3 linked regions of the Schizosaccharomyces pombe genome follow. The gene in region 1 interacts genetically with each later gene. Each region holds a gene or a part of one and is shown in the gene's direction. Other genes may lie near its edges.

Region 1 (4,000 bases):
CACGAAACCGTCCAAGTGAATTGATCCTTTCACGTTGTACCATTTCTGAATGAAGTTCGGTGACACGAAGCTCGAGCAATCGAAGAATAGAATATATCAATTCAGCAGTGCGAGTCCGATTTACAAAGATAATTGCAGACTTTTTAGCGTTCTCAGGAATCGTTAACAAATGCACCAAATAAGCTTCTCGTACTTGTGAGGAAACAAATATGTAACTTTGCTGCAAAGTAGAAGGTACGGAAATGTTATCAGTTTCAACTTCGTATAACCAAAGGGGAGGCTTATTATTTTTCTGTGGCTGATATTTGAGCTGACGAATAGCATCAGTAACAGTTGCAGTAAACAAAAGCGTTTGACGATCTTCAGAGGCTGGAAGAACAGAAAAGCAATCATCCAAGTCATCAGCAAAGGTAGGAGACAACAAACGGTCGGCTTCGTCCATTACCAAAAATTTTATTCGACGTAGTCCGGCTATCGTTTCTTCACCATTACTTCTAATCAAGTCAGCTAGGCGACCAGGAGTAGCTACAACAACATGGGGCCGTTTCGATAAATCAATAGATTGTCGTATCATATCCATGCCTCCAACGATGAGCGCATGCTTTAAATTAAGATTAGCACCTAAAGCAGCAAATTGTTCATCAATCTGTATTGCAAGTTCTCTGTTCGAGTTAGCTAATTGTAGTAGAATAGTTAACATTTATACTAATTTAAATTTTAAGAAAAAGTACAATAATGTTATATTTTATACCTGGTTGGTGTCAAAATAAGAGCAAATATTCCTGATGGATCCTTAGACCATTTTTCAATAATAGGCAAAGCAAAAGCAGCAGTTTTACCAGAACCTGTTTTAGCACCTCCAATACAATTACGTCCTATAAATTTTTATTTGTTAGGCACATTTTACACTTAATTTTACTTTATTAATTTTTGTAAGCATACCTTCTAAAATCTGAGCAATTACTCCTTCCTGAATATCTGTAGGTTCATATATTGCAAGTGCTTTTAGCGTATCGATAAGCCATGGCGATATTCCTAAATCAGAGAATGATTTTCTTGTATGTTCTGACATGTTTTCTCCCCGATGTAAGGGTTTTATTTAAATTAAATATAATGGTTACTGTACTGTCAAACCAAACTATTGGGATTCAACTTGTTGCCCTTACTGCAAAATTAACACGCTACGCTACATTACGCTGCTTTAGACATTATTGCTGATGCGACATTTTTCAATGACTTTTAGGTCAACATACACAGATAAAATCTTCATATGGTTAACATAAAGTTTTTATTGTTCTCTAAAATAAGTACAGATAGAACTCAAACTAATTTCTTCAGTTTGCTTGTAAGTTATTTAGTGCTTTTTCGGTAAACCAACGTGCAAAACACAATATTTGAACTTTACGTAGTTAATCGTGTTCTTATAATAGTTAACGGATTGTATGTAGTTATTATAAGCCATAGAAAATCATGCAATGATAAATATATTCTTTTATGTTTTCCTTGAACAAAATTAATTATAATTTTAGAGGTAGACATTTATAGTAAATAAAAGAAGAAAGCTCACAGGATATGATAGTCTCATAATTACATTAACTTATACTCGTAATGAACAATTCCCGAAGTCGTTTTAACAAAGGTCTCACTAATTCTAAAATAACGTATCTACATAGCTAAGTCCATAAGTTATTTAGTGAAGTCCTAATTTAGAAATGTAGGTTATACTAATAATGGTCAATCGTATTTAGTATAGCTTCCGAAAACTATACGATTTCTTCTAATAGAGGCCTCGGTTGTTTGTTTGCGAGGAATTAACTCTTCCATCAAAGTTTCCGTTTATAGTGCTATCCTCTAATTTTCTAATTCAGGAAGCAAAAACTTCAAAAAAGTTTATAATTGGTAGGTTTATTTAGCGGGAAGACCATACGTTAGAATTTACTTTCCTTGCGTTTTTGGAAAAGAAGAATAAAAATTGAAGTTTGTTAAAAATACAAACAAACTTTTGGACTTGGTATCAGTCATCTCTTGTCACTCTTTCTACAAATTGAAAAAATATCGAAGAAAGCGCCCATGCCTCTATGTCCAAAAAACCTGTCTTGAACTTAGATACCAGTAATGGGTTCTCTGAAGAATATATAAGTCATCCTGAACGTAATGACAATCAAGGAATTGTCGAGATTACAGACCTGGTGTTTTCTAGCGAGTCGAAATTAACTCAGCGAAAGGAGAGCCGGGATAGTAAAACATTTGTTCCTTCCTTTCTGGAAGAACTTGATGATGATCACCTACATGAATTGGTTACAAATGGAGGTATTTTGTACATGAACAGTCTAGGTGAAGGTGTTAGTGGCTCTGTAAGGAAATGCAGAATTCGTGGGACTCAGATGATTTTCGCTATGAAAACTGTATTAGCTGCTCCGAATACCGCTTTACAAAAGCAACTCCTTCGAGAGTTAAAAATCAACAGAAGTTGTACCTCTCCTTACATCGTTAAATATTATGGCGCTTGCTACAATAACGCAGAGTGTCAGTTAAACATAGCTATGGAATATTGCGGAGCAGGATCTCTCGACGCGATATACAAACGCGTACGCAGTCAAGGTGGACGCACTGGAGAACGACCATTGGGCAAGATTGCATTCGGTGTCCTTAGCGGTTTAAGCTATTTACATGACAGGAAAATAATACACCGTGATATTAAGCCATCAAATATCCTTCTGACGTCAAAAGGTCAAGTGAAGTTATGCGATTTTGGTGTATCTGGAGAATTGGTTAACTCTCTCGCTGGCACATTCACTGGAACTTCGTATTACATGGCGCCTGAACGAATTTCTGGGGGATCTTATACTATATCGTCAGATATATGGTCTTTGGGTTTAACATTGATGGAGGTCGCATTAAACCGGTTTCCATTCCCTCCCGAGGGTAGCCCCCCACCAATGCCTATTGAATTGCTCTCGTATATAATAAATATGCCACCTCCCCTTTTACCTCAAGAACCCGGTATTAAATGGTCGAAATCCTTTCAACATTTTCTATGCGTGTGTCTGGATAAAGACAAAACTCGTCGTCCTGGACCCCAAAAAATGCTTACCCATCCTTGGGTTAAAGCGTTTGAGAGAATTCATGTGGACATGGAAGAGTTCCTTCGTCAAGTCTGGTCTGATTAGAAGAAATAGTGTCATATGTTAGCACTGTAAGTTGATAAATTCTGTTTGAAAATTCTTATGCTAAATTTCTTTACATTGGAGAATGCATAATCTGATTAATGGCAAAATATTATGAGTCTAACTGTCTTCCAGTTCGCTTGTTGTATGAAATAAATAGGAAAGTCATAATAATATATACTTTTTATTAATTGCTAACGGTTTTTCTAATTTTCTTTATACAAATACCTCCTTTATAGTAATTTTATGGGTTTAACATTTTTAACAGAAATAATTTTGGCTTGATTATGCATACTCAAATCGTAGCGAGAAATGATAGATTTACGCCTTGCTAGCTTTTTAACAAAAATAGGCAAAATAGGCGTTATATGGCAACTTAAAAAACGAAAGAATTCGTATATTTAATTATCCACAATTAAGGACTATTTCTTTTCGTTCTCTTATAACGTGAGGCAATGATTCGTTTTTTTTCTAGTCTACGCACGTAAGTTGGTGGTGTAACTACACCAAACTTCCCAGGGTATACATGTCCTTAACTCTTTCAATGAATTAATTGCTTTTCACTACACCGTTCTATCTTTATTTTTAAGTTTAATTTGTATACGTTGTCTGCCTAATAAAAATTATTTAAAAAAAATGACTGAAAAAACTGCTAGTCATTATTGGAATGAAGAAACCTCTATATTGAAGCTTCGTCGCAAAGATATACTTCTGTTTGAAATATATGCCACTACACTTCTTCTAGGTAGCATTTATAGCATTTATGTTGACAAATGGTCGATTACCTCTTACTTTGGAAACTCGAAAAATTTGATTAATTTGATTTTTGTAAA
Region 2 (4,200 bases), on another chromosome or scaffold:
CCACGTTTTTTTCCTCCAAGCTAGTAGTTTCAATGACTTCTTCATCAACATCAGCATTTGAAGAATTCAACTCGTCTTGGGTTATATCATCATTGAGAGATTTTGATGGTACGTTGTTCAGAGGAATCGATAAAAGCTTAGGTGAATCGGAGATGATTCCTTTCTGGGACTTGTCTGAACCTTCGTCTGAAGCGTTTACAGACTCGGTATTTGCAAGGTTACGTTGAATATTAGCATATTGTTCTAATTCTTCATAGTAAGCATCATACAGTACTTCCAACTCTTCCTCAATTGCTAAACGTTTCCTTCCACACACCGAACAAGAGCATGAGTATTTTTGTTGCTCTTTCATTTTTTGCAAAACAGCTTCTTTTTCGACTTTAACTAACGACCTGCGTTCACTTTCACTTAAGGAAAGCCAAAATTCCCGAATTTGCTCCCGCTCCTCAGTATTCGAACTGCTCCAAATATCTTTGGATTTATTATTGTTAACGTTATTATTCATACTGGCTTGACGCACAGAACCGTTGTAATAAGAAAGCGCTTGCCCATTCCTATAAGTAATAGCAACGTCCGTAGAATAAACTTGTTCAAAATCTCTTTGATCATCCACATTCAACGATGCACTATTTGCTTTTGACTTCTTCTTCTTTTTCTTTTTCCGTTTAGATGAAGTTGACGAACCTAACGCTACTGTATTCAAATTCATATTATTTTGAACGGAGTTCGGTGACATATTGGACGACGTCGCGTCTTCCAAACCAGGTATATGAACTGGAAACTCGGCTTCATCCACGAAACTGGAGGTAGAAAGAATACATTGGGGAGAATGTTCTATGGTATCGTCAGATTCAAGAGTGAATTGCCAATCCGTCGAAGATATTCCTTCGACGTTAATCAACGATGAATCATCACCATTTGCCGAGACCAGCTGCGGATGAGAAATACGAGAATTCAAATTTGAAAGTTCCAAAGACGCTTGATGATCTATGACACCATTATTCGCGCCAACGTCTGTAACTGCAGAATCGGTCCCTGCCGACCCAAGCAAATCCACGTTTGCTTGAGTCTCGACATTTTTCTTGGCTTTCGGTTTTTTCTTCTTTTTATTCTTTTTCTTTGTACCAGAGTTGGGAATAGGTATAAGAAGATCCTTGAAACTTGGAGGTTCTAACCCTACACTGAGTGCTTCGGTGCGAAGAGCTTTATCATTCATGTTTTCTTTTTAAAAATCGCCTACCAACAACGCCTCTTTTTTTATGAGCTTAAAATATGAAACTAACGATTTAAAAAAAAAATAATTTAAATTATTTTTTTTATTCAAATTGTAGCTCACGGGTCTGCGTTGGCAATGTTTTAAGGGTAATCCCTAAAATTCTTAAATGCCGAACTGCCCACCTTTTCTTAGTTCAATATTCAAAAACAGTATACCCCAAAGTACTTGAAATAGTATATCTTCTTAGGGATTTCAACCCAGATGATCCAAATCACAAAGATTTTTGGATTTAACTAGTTCAATTGCTGCTTTGCAGAATGTGGTGAATAAAGCCAAACGGCAAATGGCGTTTTATCATATTTAATGCATCTTAACGTGCAAAATTAGTTCTTTAAGGCATGTTAAGGTGCAATAAGGAAGCGTACGATTCCAATAAATTGAATTTACGATACTTAACACCAAAAGTGTCTATAATCCGCATGGGATAAATGTCACCAAAACCACATTTCTTGAACAAATACTCTTTGAGAAGCTAATTTTTGTGCATATACTACTTTTCGTTGCTCTAATTGAAAGGCTTGGACGTTTGGCTAATCGCTTCATTTGACTATTTCGACAATCGCTTACTCATTTCTTATATTTCAAAAATTCACACCTATTTGGTTTAATTTTTACAGCTTTTCGAACCGGGAAATTTTGGTTGTCTGATCTGCAGTGAATCATTCTTTAAGAAAAATTTGCATAGAAAAAACCTCATACAGTGTTTAATCCGCTCCCTATTAAAAAGTACATGTTGCAATCTCAACCGATTAGAAGGTACGATTCTATGGCCTAATATCTTTTTGCTTCTTTTATTTCTTCTACTCAAATTCATTTTCTTTAAATATTAATATTTTTAAGGAAACTAGTAGTTGTAGGCGATGGTGCCTGCGGGAAGACGTCTTTGTTATCCGTTTTCACTTTGGGATATTTTCCTACTGTAAGTACAGATGTCATAAAAGTGAGCTTTGGCTTATCGCATATTGCACGATACGCAAATACTTATTGTCTTTTCTACCTTATTTATTTATTTATTTACTAACTTACTGGCGATAGGAATATGTAATGCTTTTTTCTCTTTATTTCGTAGAGTTTTTTAATAACAGTTACTATAGGTTCCGACTGTGTTTGAAAACTATGTTTCAGATTGTCGAGTATGTGTGATTAACAAGTTATTGAGCTTTTTCAGTTGGTTACAGAAAGTTACTTTCCCACTGGTCCCTTTTCTTTGGGTTTTGCTAATACATTTGATACTAACTAAAATAGGTTGATGGAAAATCAGTTCAACTGGCATTGTGGGATACCGCGTAAGTACTTTTTTTTCTGATGTTAAAACTATATGTTATGTATTCCTGCATACTAATTCTTGTTTTAGAGGTCAAGAGGAATATGAGGTTTGTTTCGTTATTAATAGTGAGAAATACGTCGTTAACCCAATGCAGAGATTAAGACCAATGTCTTACGCTAAAGCACACATTATTTTGGTTGGGTTTGCGATAGACTCTCCTGATTCACTTGAAAATGTTTCTACGAAGGTTCGTTTCATTAATTGTTTTTTCCAGTCATTAACATTATATAGTGGATTGAGGAAATTAATACACTTTGCCCAAATGTTCCGTTTATTTTAGTGGGCATGAAAGCCGACTTAAGGTCAGATCCCGTTGCTATTGAAGAAATGCGACGTCGAAATCAAAATTTTGTAAAATCACAACAGGTATATATTAATAATTCAAACACGTGAATACTAATTCTTGATATCAGGCTGAATTAGTAGCTCAGCGGATTGGTGCGAGAAAGTATATGGAATGTTCTTCATTGACTGGTGACGGCGTGGACGATGTATTTGAAGCTGCTACTAGGGCAGCACTAACAGTTCGGGATTCGGAAAATGACAAGAGTTCTACAAAATGCTGCATCATTTCATAATTACTAATATCCTAACGATTGCAAACATTCATGTTTCAGTTTATAGGAAAGCCTATCAGTTTATGCGACCTACATTTACAAAAAGCTGATAGACTTTTTTGCTTTTCTTCGCATTTGTTCTTTGCCGTTGTTTCATTTCGTTTTCACTTTCACTTCTGTCGTTTACTTTTTTCTTTTTCTCCCCTATACCTCAAATTTAGTTCCTATTTTATTTTGAGACTCAGGAGTATTATTATTATTTTCATCATTATAATCTTCACGCATCGGTCGAACGACACTAGCCTCCTTTTTCATTTCATTAAGCAAACCGCATTCAGTTATTATTACCTTTTTTTTTTACTCTTAAACATCTTTCATTCTTTTTCAGCATCTATTGTCCTCATGAAAACTACTTTTTGTTTAAAAGATCATAGGACTTTATTTTTAGAACTGCCGCTTGCGCTCATTATGAAGTACAAAATTCATATATGTACATATGCTTTTGTTCTCTTAGGCTAATAGAAAATGTCAGTTTTCCTTATTGATACATTTAATACGTAGGCTCACTTCGCTAAGTAATTTTATGGGGCGGTCAAATTCAAAATTCTGGCTCATTTAAGCTAAATATTAAGACACCGCCAAAGGTATACAACCATATCAAAATTTATCACCTACTAAAGTTTCGAGCCTATTTTTTTCTGGGCATTAATGGGTTGGAAATCAAGACTGGCAAGAGTTAAAGTGGTCACTCTCATCAAACAACTATGTGAAATTATATACCCTTTAAACACCCATACTCCAACAACTAACTTTTCTTCGGGCGTTCACTTCATTAAGAACAACAACCAAAAAAAAACAACCAAAATCCATCCAAATGATAAAGAATGACAAATACGCGGCAAAAATCCGGAACTACACTAAAAATTACACATTCCTTTCATTCTTGATCGTAAGAAAGGAAATCGCCAATAAAGAGAGATAAATTCATACTCAAATACATCACAGACAAAGGATATTAAGACCACAGACATATGACAGGA
Region 3 (7,634 bases), on another chromosome or scaffold:
GTTTTGCACAAAGTAGTGACTTTATTGTACGAAGGAAATGCTGAAGCGGCTACCGAAATGGCATTGGCGGCGGATTTGACGATTCCAGAAAACGATATTAGTAAGGGTGTATACGATTCAAAAGGCACTTTTTATGAAATTCCTAAAATTGTGGCTCGTATCCCTCGTGCTTTTGCAGAACGAAAAGATTCACTCGACGATGAGGATGATAACATGATAAGTAGCAACGACCCTACAAAATCCCCAGAGGAGCATGATACCACCACAAAATCCATAGCATCGCTAAAGGATGCGGAATTGGATTCGTCTTTGGAAACCGTCTTAATCCGTTACAGTAAGGATGACAAAGATTACTCGATTCAGATTAATCCCAATCTTCCTTTTTCTCATGCCAAGTCCCAATTAGAAGAAGTAGGACTTGAAAATGTCCAAAGATTTTTTTTCCTTGGACGCGTCCTTCAATTTAAAAAAAGTTTATCCCAACAGGGTTGGACTTCTGGTATGATCATTCAAGCTATGTAAGCTTTTATTTCTCTTCCTTTGAAAACCGATCCTTCCTTTTATTTCTAGCGATGTTTTAGAGCTAACTGTACAATTTATGAAAACTTTTTTTTTTCTAAAAAGAAAAGTAGTTTTTGGTCTGATGGTTGTATCGTGAATGTGATTTTCGCGTTGTTGCTTCTTTGTGTTCAGCCAAAGGCTTTTTCTTTGAACTCTTTGTTTGTTTTAATTATCATTTTTCATTTTCTTTTCTATTTTTTGAGACATACGATTCTCCTCGGTATTTTCTTTTAATCCTGCTTATTTGACCCTTAGTTTGCTGTACAAATTCAGCTGTTTAATTTGATTTTTTCACCCTTCTTATCAGCACTGTCTCATTCCTTTTTATGTCCGTTATGGATATTGAAGACTTGTTGAGGTTTCAATTTGATGCTTTACGATTAGTCTTTTACATATGTTTCTTTCATTCTTGAATTTTTTTCATGATGAAGCATATCTTTTCGCTATTTTTCATAATTTTTCTATACAAATTTGGTATAAGTTATAATAGTTGGTATTTTTTCTTCTACCCTTCATTGATGTCGATTTCGAGATTATTCAATTAGAGTACATCTTATTTGTTATCCGCTTCAATTATTTCATCTTGTTGGACATACCATAATTCTATTACCATTGAATTAATTTATTTGCTAGACGTTTATATCGTTTGCGAAAATTTGTTACTATCGTAATTTCTTGCTTTCGTTACAAAACCTATCGAAAATAAAGCATTTCATTAAGTAATAGATGTGAGATAAAGAAGTTTGGAAGGAAGAAATAAATTTTGTATTCAATAGGAAGAAAAAATATCTGTTTATTAAAAAAACTATCTATATATTGCTTAAACTAATAGTTTATTTAAGTATTGAATGTGTTTATCAATTATCCTATACATACTTGCAAACTAAAATCACATTTAAAATTAACCCAGAGTTTTAATTTTTCATCTTCCCTGTCTTCGCGGTTCCGTACCAACCATACGGGTCGACCATTCCTACTATTCCCAGTGCTGTCCATATTGCCAGGTTTGGGAACAATCCTCTCCAGCGGACTACCAACATTGGGTTAAGCAAGCACCTTGAGAAAACGTAGATTTGAAAGTTTTATTTATTCCTTTTGTCTATTTTTTTGAATATAAAAAGTGTGAAACTAAAACTATTGAAGCATTCGTACAATTTGAGTTCCGGGCAACAACTCGAAAATTTGTGTCGGCGGCATTTTTACACCTCACTGTTTCTTTACAATTTAAACTTGCATTCATTTTCGTCATTTATTAATATACTTTACTTTAGCATACATTGTCGTTTTCCATATCTCATGAACGCTGGCAATTGGACTCTTTTCTTTACATTTGTCTCTCTTTGAACGGTTTATGAACTACATCCTCCTGTTAGTCCTTTTTCCTTATTTCAATCGTTATTTTGACTTTAAATATTTATTCTATTCGTTACGTTTTATAATTAAATCTTGTTGCACTATATCTATTCCTTTTTTTTGCATTTCCCGTGTTAGAGAAGCTCCTTGACTCTTAAGAGGTTCTGGTTTTCGACGTTTTCTACATTCCTTCAGTCTTTTTTCATCATTTAAAAAAAATTAAGAAGTGTAATGTCATCAAGCTCAAACTCAGATCCAAGCTCTAGCCCTGATAATACCGATTTCATTCCCCTTAAAGATAATCCTAAAGATACCTCTTCCTACATAAATAAAAAAAATCCATTCGTAAACGATTCTTTTGATTCCCATGATGATTCCTATTTGGATAATGTTAACCCATTTGAGTATAATGTTGCAGATGATGAAGATACGATTTCCATGACCAGCGACGGTGTCGAATTTCATAACCTTGGCATAACCGAAACTGTTGATGAGCAGGACAAAATCTTGTCTGAACTTCAATTGGCCTATCCTACTGTTTCTAGGTACTCAGAAACACTAGATAAAGGTCTTCTGAATGGAGATAAAACTACCAAGGGAGATTACACCAGTCTAAGGAGATTTAGAAAACCTTTCTTGTTTGATAAACTATCTCCTTATTTTACTCATTTTTTTTCCGAAATTTACGCTGCGGTTTTGAGAGTTGTTGGCCCTCCAAGAGCTAATGAAACACCCGGAAGAAACTTGCCATTTTCCCCAATTCTCCGCCAAATTTATAATCACCCTTTATACAATATCTTTATTTTTGTTGTAATTGTGCTACATGCGGTTTTACTAATGATTCGTTCTGATGACCCTCATGATAAGTCTCAAACTATCGATTATTTAATTATTGTAATCGGTATCTTATATACGTTAGAGATGTTGCTCAAAATCTATTTATTTGGTTTTTTATATGATGGTTCCTCTTCATTTTATGATTTCATAAACTCGTATACCAAGAAAACTCCCAGAACAATGTCTTATTTGCGACATTCATGGAATCGTGTCGATTTTGTGGCTATTGTTGCTTTATGGATCTCTGTAATTGGTAAAAAACAGCAAGGTATTTTTCGGCTTTTTAGTATGATTGCTTGTTTGCGCCTAACTCGGCTGTTGAATATAACTCGAAAAACTGAAACCATCCTAAAAAGTTTAAAAGAGTCGTCTACACCTTTAGTACAAGTCGTCTCGTTTAATGCTTTCTTTGGGGTAATGATAGCTATATTGGGTGTTCAATTTTTTAAGGCATCACTGAATCGTCAATGCGTATGGCTTGGTGATTACGGGGACCAGTATTTACCTACTGGTCAATTTTGTGGTGGTCATTGGGAGAATGGTATAAAAAGGGCTTACTTAGATAAAAATGGATTTCCATCCAACGTGAACCCCAGAGGTTTTATCTGTGCTGAAAAAAGTGTTTGTCGCGTGGTGGAAAACCCCTACAGTAACACTGTTAGCTTTGACAATTTTTTCAATTCTTTGGAATTGATATTTGTTATAATGAGTTCCAATGGGTTCACGGATATTATGTACGATATCATGGATGCAGAATATTTTGTTTCTTGTCTCCTTTTCATAATATCTGCATATTTTCTTACACTCTGGCTCATGTCCCTTGTGATTGCAGTGGTAACGAGTTCTTTTATTGACTTGCAGCATTCCGGAAAGAATCAAAAAGAACAAAAATCTGTTGATAAACATCTCATTCGAAATAAGTTATGTGAGAAGTACCTATTTTACTCGAACTTTATTTGGATAAGTTTTATAGTAGCCCAGTTTGTAACTCTTTGTACTCAAACATATGATCAAACTTCTAGCACTGCAAATAGGTACCTAATCTTTTACGCTTGTGTGGACTTTCTACTGGCTGCAGAAGTGATTCTTAGATTTTTTGCATACTTGCCAGATTATAGGCTTTTTTTTCGACGGTATACAAATTTGGTTGATATTGTCTTGGCCGTTTTGAATTTGGTTACTTTATTACCGAGTATTAGAAAAAATCCTGTAGCTTTTGGTTGGTTGTCAATATTTGCTATTGCTAGGATATACCGATGCATTCTTTTGATTCCCTATACACGGAAAATTGCTAAACTCTTGTTCTCAAATTTTAAACAACTGCTAAATTTGATGCTATTTTTGGTAATCGTCTTATTCATTGCATCTTTGTGCGCTGTCAGGTTGTTTCAAGATTTGCCCAATGACGGAGATTCAGACGATGATGCGATTAGCTTCGCTACTACTTACGAATCGTTTTTATACATGTACCAGATTTTGACAAGTGAGAATTGGACGGATGTGATGTTTGCAATCCAAGCTCGATTAGCACATCTTCACTTATCGTGGATTCCTGGAGCTTTTTTTACTCTTTGGTTTCTCTTTTCAAACAACGTGGTTTTAAGTATGTTTATTGCTGTCATTCAGGTAAACTTTGCACCTTCAGAATCTGATCTAAAAATGGAACAATTGAAAATGTACTTAGCTAGGTTATTAAGGAACTATAATCCTTTTCAAGCTTCCCTTACTTTGAATGCCTTAATTAAAAGGAATGGATCTCGAAAAGGGAAGACAGTGGATGAATCTCATTATGAGTGGTTATATGAAGACAATATTATTAAAGGCTTTTTGCGTGTTACTAATATTCCTCCTAAAGAGCCACTTAAACCGAGTTTGGATACCTCACCCGAGTTATCTAAATATTCACTGGCAAAGCTGTCAAATAACTTTAAGAGATTTGTTATGCGTGATGACCCTTTTTCTCAAGCATACTTCAAACGTGTTATCGGTATACGCTGGGAAAAGGATATGAATCTCAAGACTGCAGCGAAAGATATGCAAGCTGCTAAAGCATTTGTCCGAATTAAGCAGACCGAATTTTTAAAGAATCACCCAAAGTATAATGATGTGTTTTGGGTCATTAAACCGTCGAATAGAATTAGGAGGTTTTGTCAACGACTGGTAATGCCCGGTGTGAATGAACGATATGGCGGTGTTGAGCCATATCAATGGGTTTACCGTGTAATACAAGTTTTTATTTATGCTTGTATTCTAACTGCAGTGATTATTGAATGCATTGCTACACCTATTTATGAGCGAGACCATTTATTGAATGATAAACAACATGCATGGTTTGTATGGACAGAGGTAGCTTTTGCAACTATTTTTACAATTGAAGCCGCTATAAAAATAATAGCTGATGGATTTTGTATTACACCAAATGCATACCTTCGAAGTACTTGGAATTGCATCGACTTTTTCGTTTTGGTTACCTTATGGATCAATCTTTATGCAGTATTAACAAGCCATGCCTTGCTTTCCCGAGCCTTTCGAGCATTCAAAGCGCTTCGTGTGCTTCGATTAATCAATCTTACACAAACTTCACAGCGGATGTTTCATGACGCCCTAATTAGTGGTTTTTTTAAAATATTTTCTGCCGCCGTTGTGTCGGCAACGTTGCTAATTCCTTTTGCTCTGTGGGCTAAAAACGTTTTTGGTGGATTATTATACAGTTGTAATGATGACAACGTTTTATCAGCTTCTCAGTGTGTTTTAGAATACGCATCCACTCCTAATAATTGGGAGGTTTGGGCACCAAGAGTCTGGTCCAATCCCCCTGATTACGATTTTGATAGATTTCCTCATGCTCTACTCGCTTTGTTCGAAATCGCCTCAATTGAAGGATGGGTAGACATTATGCGTTCGGTAATGGACATTACTGGATTCAATAATCAACCCCAGACCAATGCCTCTTCTGGTAATGCTATGTTCTTTGTGTTGTTCAACCTTGTTTCAATGATTTATATATTGACTCTTTTTATTGCCATCATCATCAGCAATTATGCTGAACGTACAGGGTCGGCTTTCTTTACTGCGGAACAGCGCGCGTGGTTGGAACTGCGCAGGAAGATAAAATCAATGCGTCCGTCGAAAAGGCCGGCCATTAGACCTCTGGGTTTAAGAGGACTTTGTTACGACTTTGCAGTGCAAAAACATGGCATATGGAGAAGGACATTTACTGGGTTGTATATTGTGCATCTCTTGTTCCTTCTAACCATTTTTTATCCTTGTCCTATAGCGTACACTTATGTTCGAAACTCTATATTTCTAATACTGTCAATATGTTATACGATAAACATATGTGTCAAAGTTTACGGTCTTTCATTCTACTATTTTTTTCACAGTTTTTGGAATATGTTTGATGTCGTTGTAACATTAGGAAGTCTCACTTGCAATATTGCTATCCTTGCAAAGTTTGAAAATAGGTCGTTAACACTCCTGCAAACTACTTTATTGGTGTTAGTTACTGTGCATCTAATTCCGAAGTTTGACAATTTTGATCAGCTTTCTAAAACTGTGGTTGCAAGCTTACCTTCTATTTTTTCATTGATTGCGACATGGATTGTTTTATACATTACCTTTGCTATAGCGTTTAATCAGATTTTCGGGTTGACCAAGCTTGGGTTGAATGGAGGGCCTAACAAAAACTTTAGGTCAATACGCAATGCTCTTGTTTTGCTTTTTACGATGACCTTTGGAGAAGGCTGGAACGATGTAATGCATGATTATACTATATCATATCCTAATTGTGTGAATGGTGACGATTTCTACAATTCAGACTGCGGTAACAAACCGTGGGCTTATGGATTGTTTATTGCTTGGAATATTATCTCAATGTACATTTTTGTTAATATGTTTATTACTGTTGTTTTCGACAACTTTTCCTACATCCATACTAAATCTTCCTCGTTTACAAATTTGCAGCGTAACGATTTCCGACAATTTAAGGATTCATGGGCACCTTTTGACCCCATGGTCACCGGTTATATTCCCAAACGCAATGCTGTAAAATTTGTTCTTTCGCTAAGGGGTGTCTATGATTTCAGAATATATCGAGATGAACATACATTGAGAAGCATTATCTCCAAAGTTCAGAGTAAAACTGGGCAGCAATCTGTCCCAATGCTCGAAAATCCCTTGATGGGTTCTGAAATAAACTTAGAGGCGCTAGACCAAATTATTGATACTATTGATGTAAACGTAGTGAAAGAGCGAAGAAACGTACTGAATTCTCTCTGTACAGAGATTATGACACTACCGGGCAACGTCATTTCTTTTTCGAATATATTGATGTTAGTTGTACTTCATAAAATTGTTGATCATCGTGAAGCATTTCCTATTTCTGACTACATTCGCCGAGCGTACGTACTTTCGGAATTGGAAAAATCTATTAGAATGGAAAAGTTGTTGGGTTTGGTTGAAACTTCAATCATCAGAAAAACATTCCTTCAACATATGGAAGAAAAGAAGAAAGCTTTAGAAAATCCTTTCATACTTTTGAGTGAAGTTTCTGAGATTTTACCCGAAACACCCATTCAAGAAGTCCTTCGCCAACATAATGCTGATCCAGAGCAACTTTTAATGTCAACTAGAACACCTTCAGTTAGTGATCGCAGTTTCTCCATCGTTGAATCGACTGTACCGACAATCGCTTCGGGTGAAGGTGATGATAACCATAGCGTGGAAGATCATTTGAAGGTACCAACTGATAATGAACCTCGAAGATCACCTTCTCTCAAAGAAGTCCTTCTTCGTGGATCTCATTCTTTACATTCAAATAACGACCGAACTTCATTTGACATCGAAGCAGGATTTGGAACTGCTGAAAGCGATTTCCAATTTGG

Evidence for each region.
Region 2: of pek1 (region 1) and rho2, a mutation in one rescues a mutant of the other (synthetic rescue), as found in Schizosaccharomyces pombe (one study listed by BioGRID).
Region 3: of pek1 (region 1) and cch1, changing one suppresses a phenotype caused by changing the other (phenotypic suppression), as found in Schizosaccharomyces pombe (2 studies listed by BioGRID).

What each region holds. Positions count from the first base shown.
Region 1 is NC_003423.3:4,310,685-4,314,684, forward strand, and holds pek1 (MAP kinase kinase Pek1), read left to right. Parts: upstream 1-1,758; 5' UTR 1,759-2,078; coding exon 2,079-3,170; 3' UTR 3,171-3,456; downstream 3,457-4,000. Other genes in the region: ATP-dependent RNA helicase Dbp8, read right to left, coding at 1-662, 752-875, 943-1,072; fit1 (CoA pyrophosphatase (FIT) family lipid storage protein), read left to right, coding at 3,804-4,000. UniProt on the Schizosaccharomyces pombe protein: Involved in the mkh1 signal transduction pathway that plays a role in cell wall integrity. Activates spm1/pmk1 via phosphorylation.
Region 2 is NC_003424.3:4,420,996-4,425,195, forward strand, and holds rho2 (Rho family GTPase Rho2), read left to right. Parts: upstream 1-1,695; 5' UTR 1,696-2,006; coding exon 2,007-2,032; intron 2,033-2,116; coding exon 2,117-2,195; intron 2,196-2,311; coding exon 2,312-2,317; intron 2,318-2,370; coding exon 2,371-2,409; intron 2,410-2,521; coding exon 2,522-2,562; intron 2,563-2,630; coding exon 2,631-2,649; exon of another isoform or gene 2,650-2,697; coding exon 2,698-2,790; exon of another isoform or gene 2,791-2,834; coding exon 2,835-2,969; exon of another isoform or gene 2,970-3,016; coding exon 3,017-3,181; 3' UTR 3,182-3,651; downstream 3,652-4,200. Other genes in the region: protein nst1, read right to left, coding at 1-1,216. UniProt on the Schizosaccharomyces pombe protein: Involved in cell morphogenesis, the maintenance of growth direction, control of polarity and of cell wall integrity. Regulates the synthesis of alpha-D-glucan through activation of pck2.
Region 3 is NC_003424.3:2,724,574-2,732,207, forward strand, and holds the start of cch1 (plasma membrane calcium ion import channel Cch1), read left to right. Parts: upstream 1-1,585; 5' UTR 1,586-2,145; coding exon 2,146-7,634. Other genes in the region: SPOM_SPAPB2B4.07 (ubiquitin UBTD1 family protein), read left to right, coding at 1-522. UniProt on the Schizosaccharomyces pombe protein: Voltage-gated, high-affinity calcium channel that functions together with yam8 to mediate calcium entry into cells. Required during conditions of environmental stress.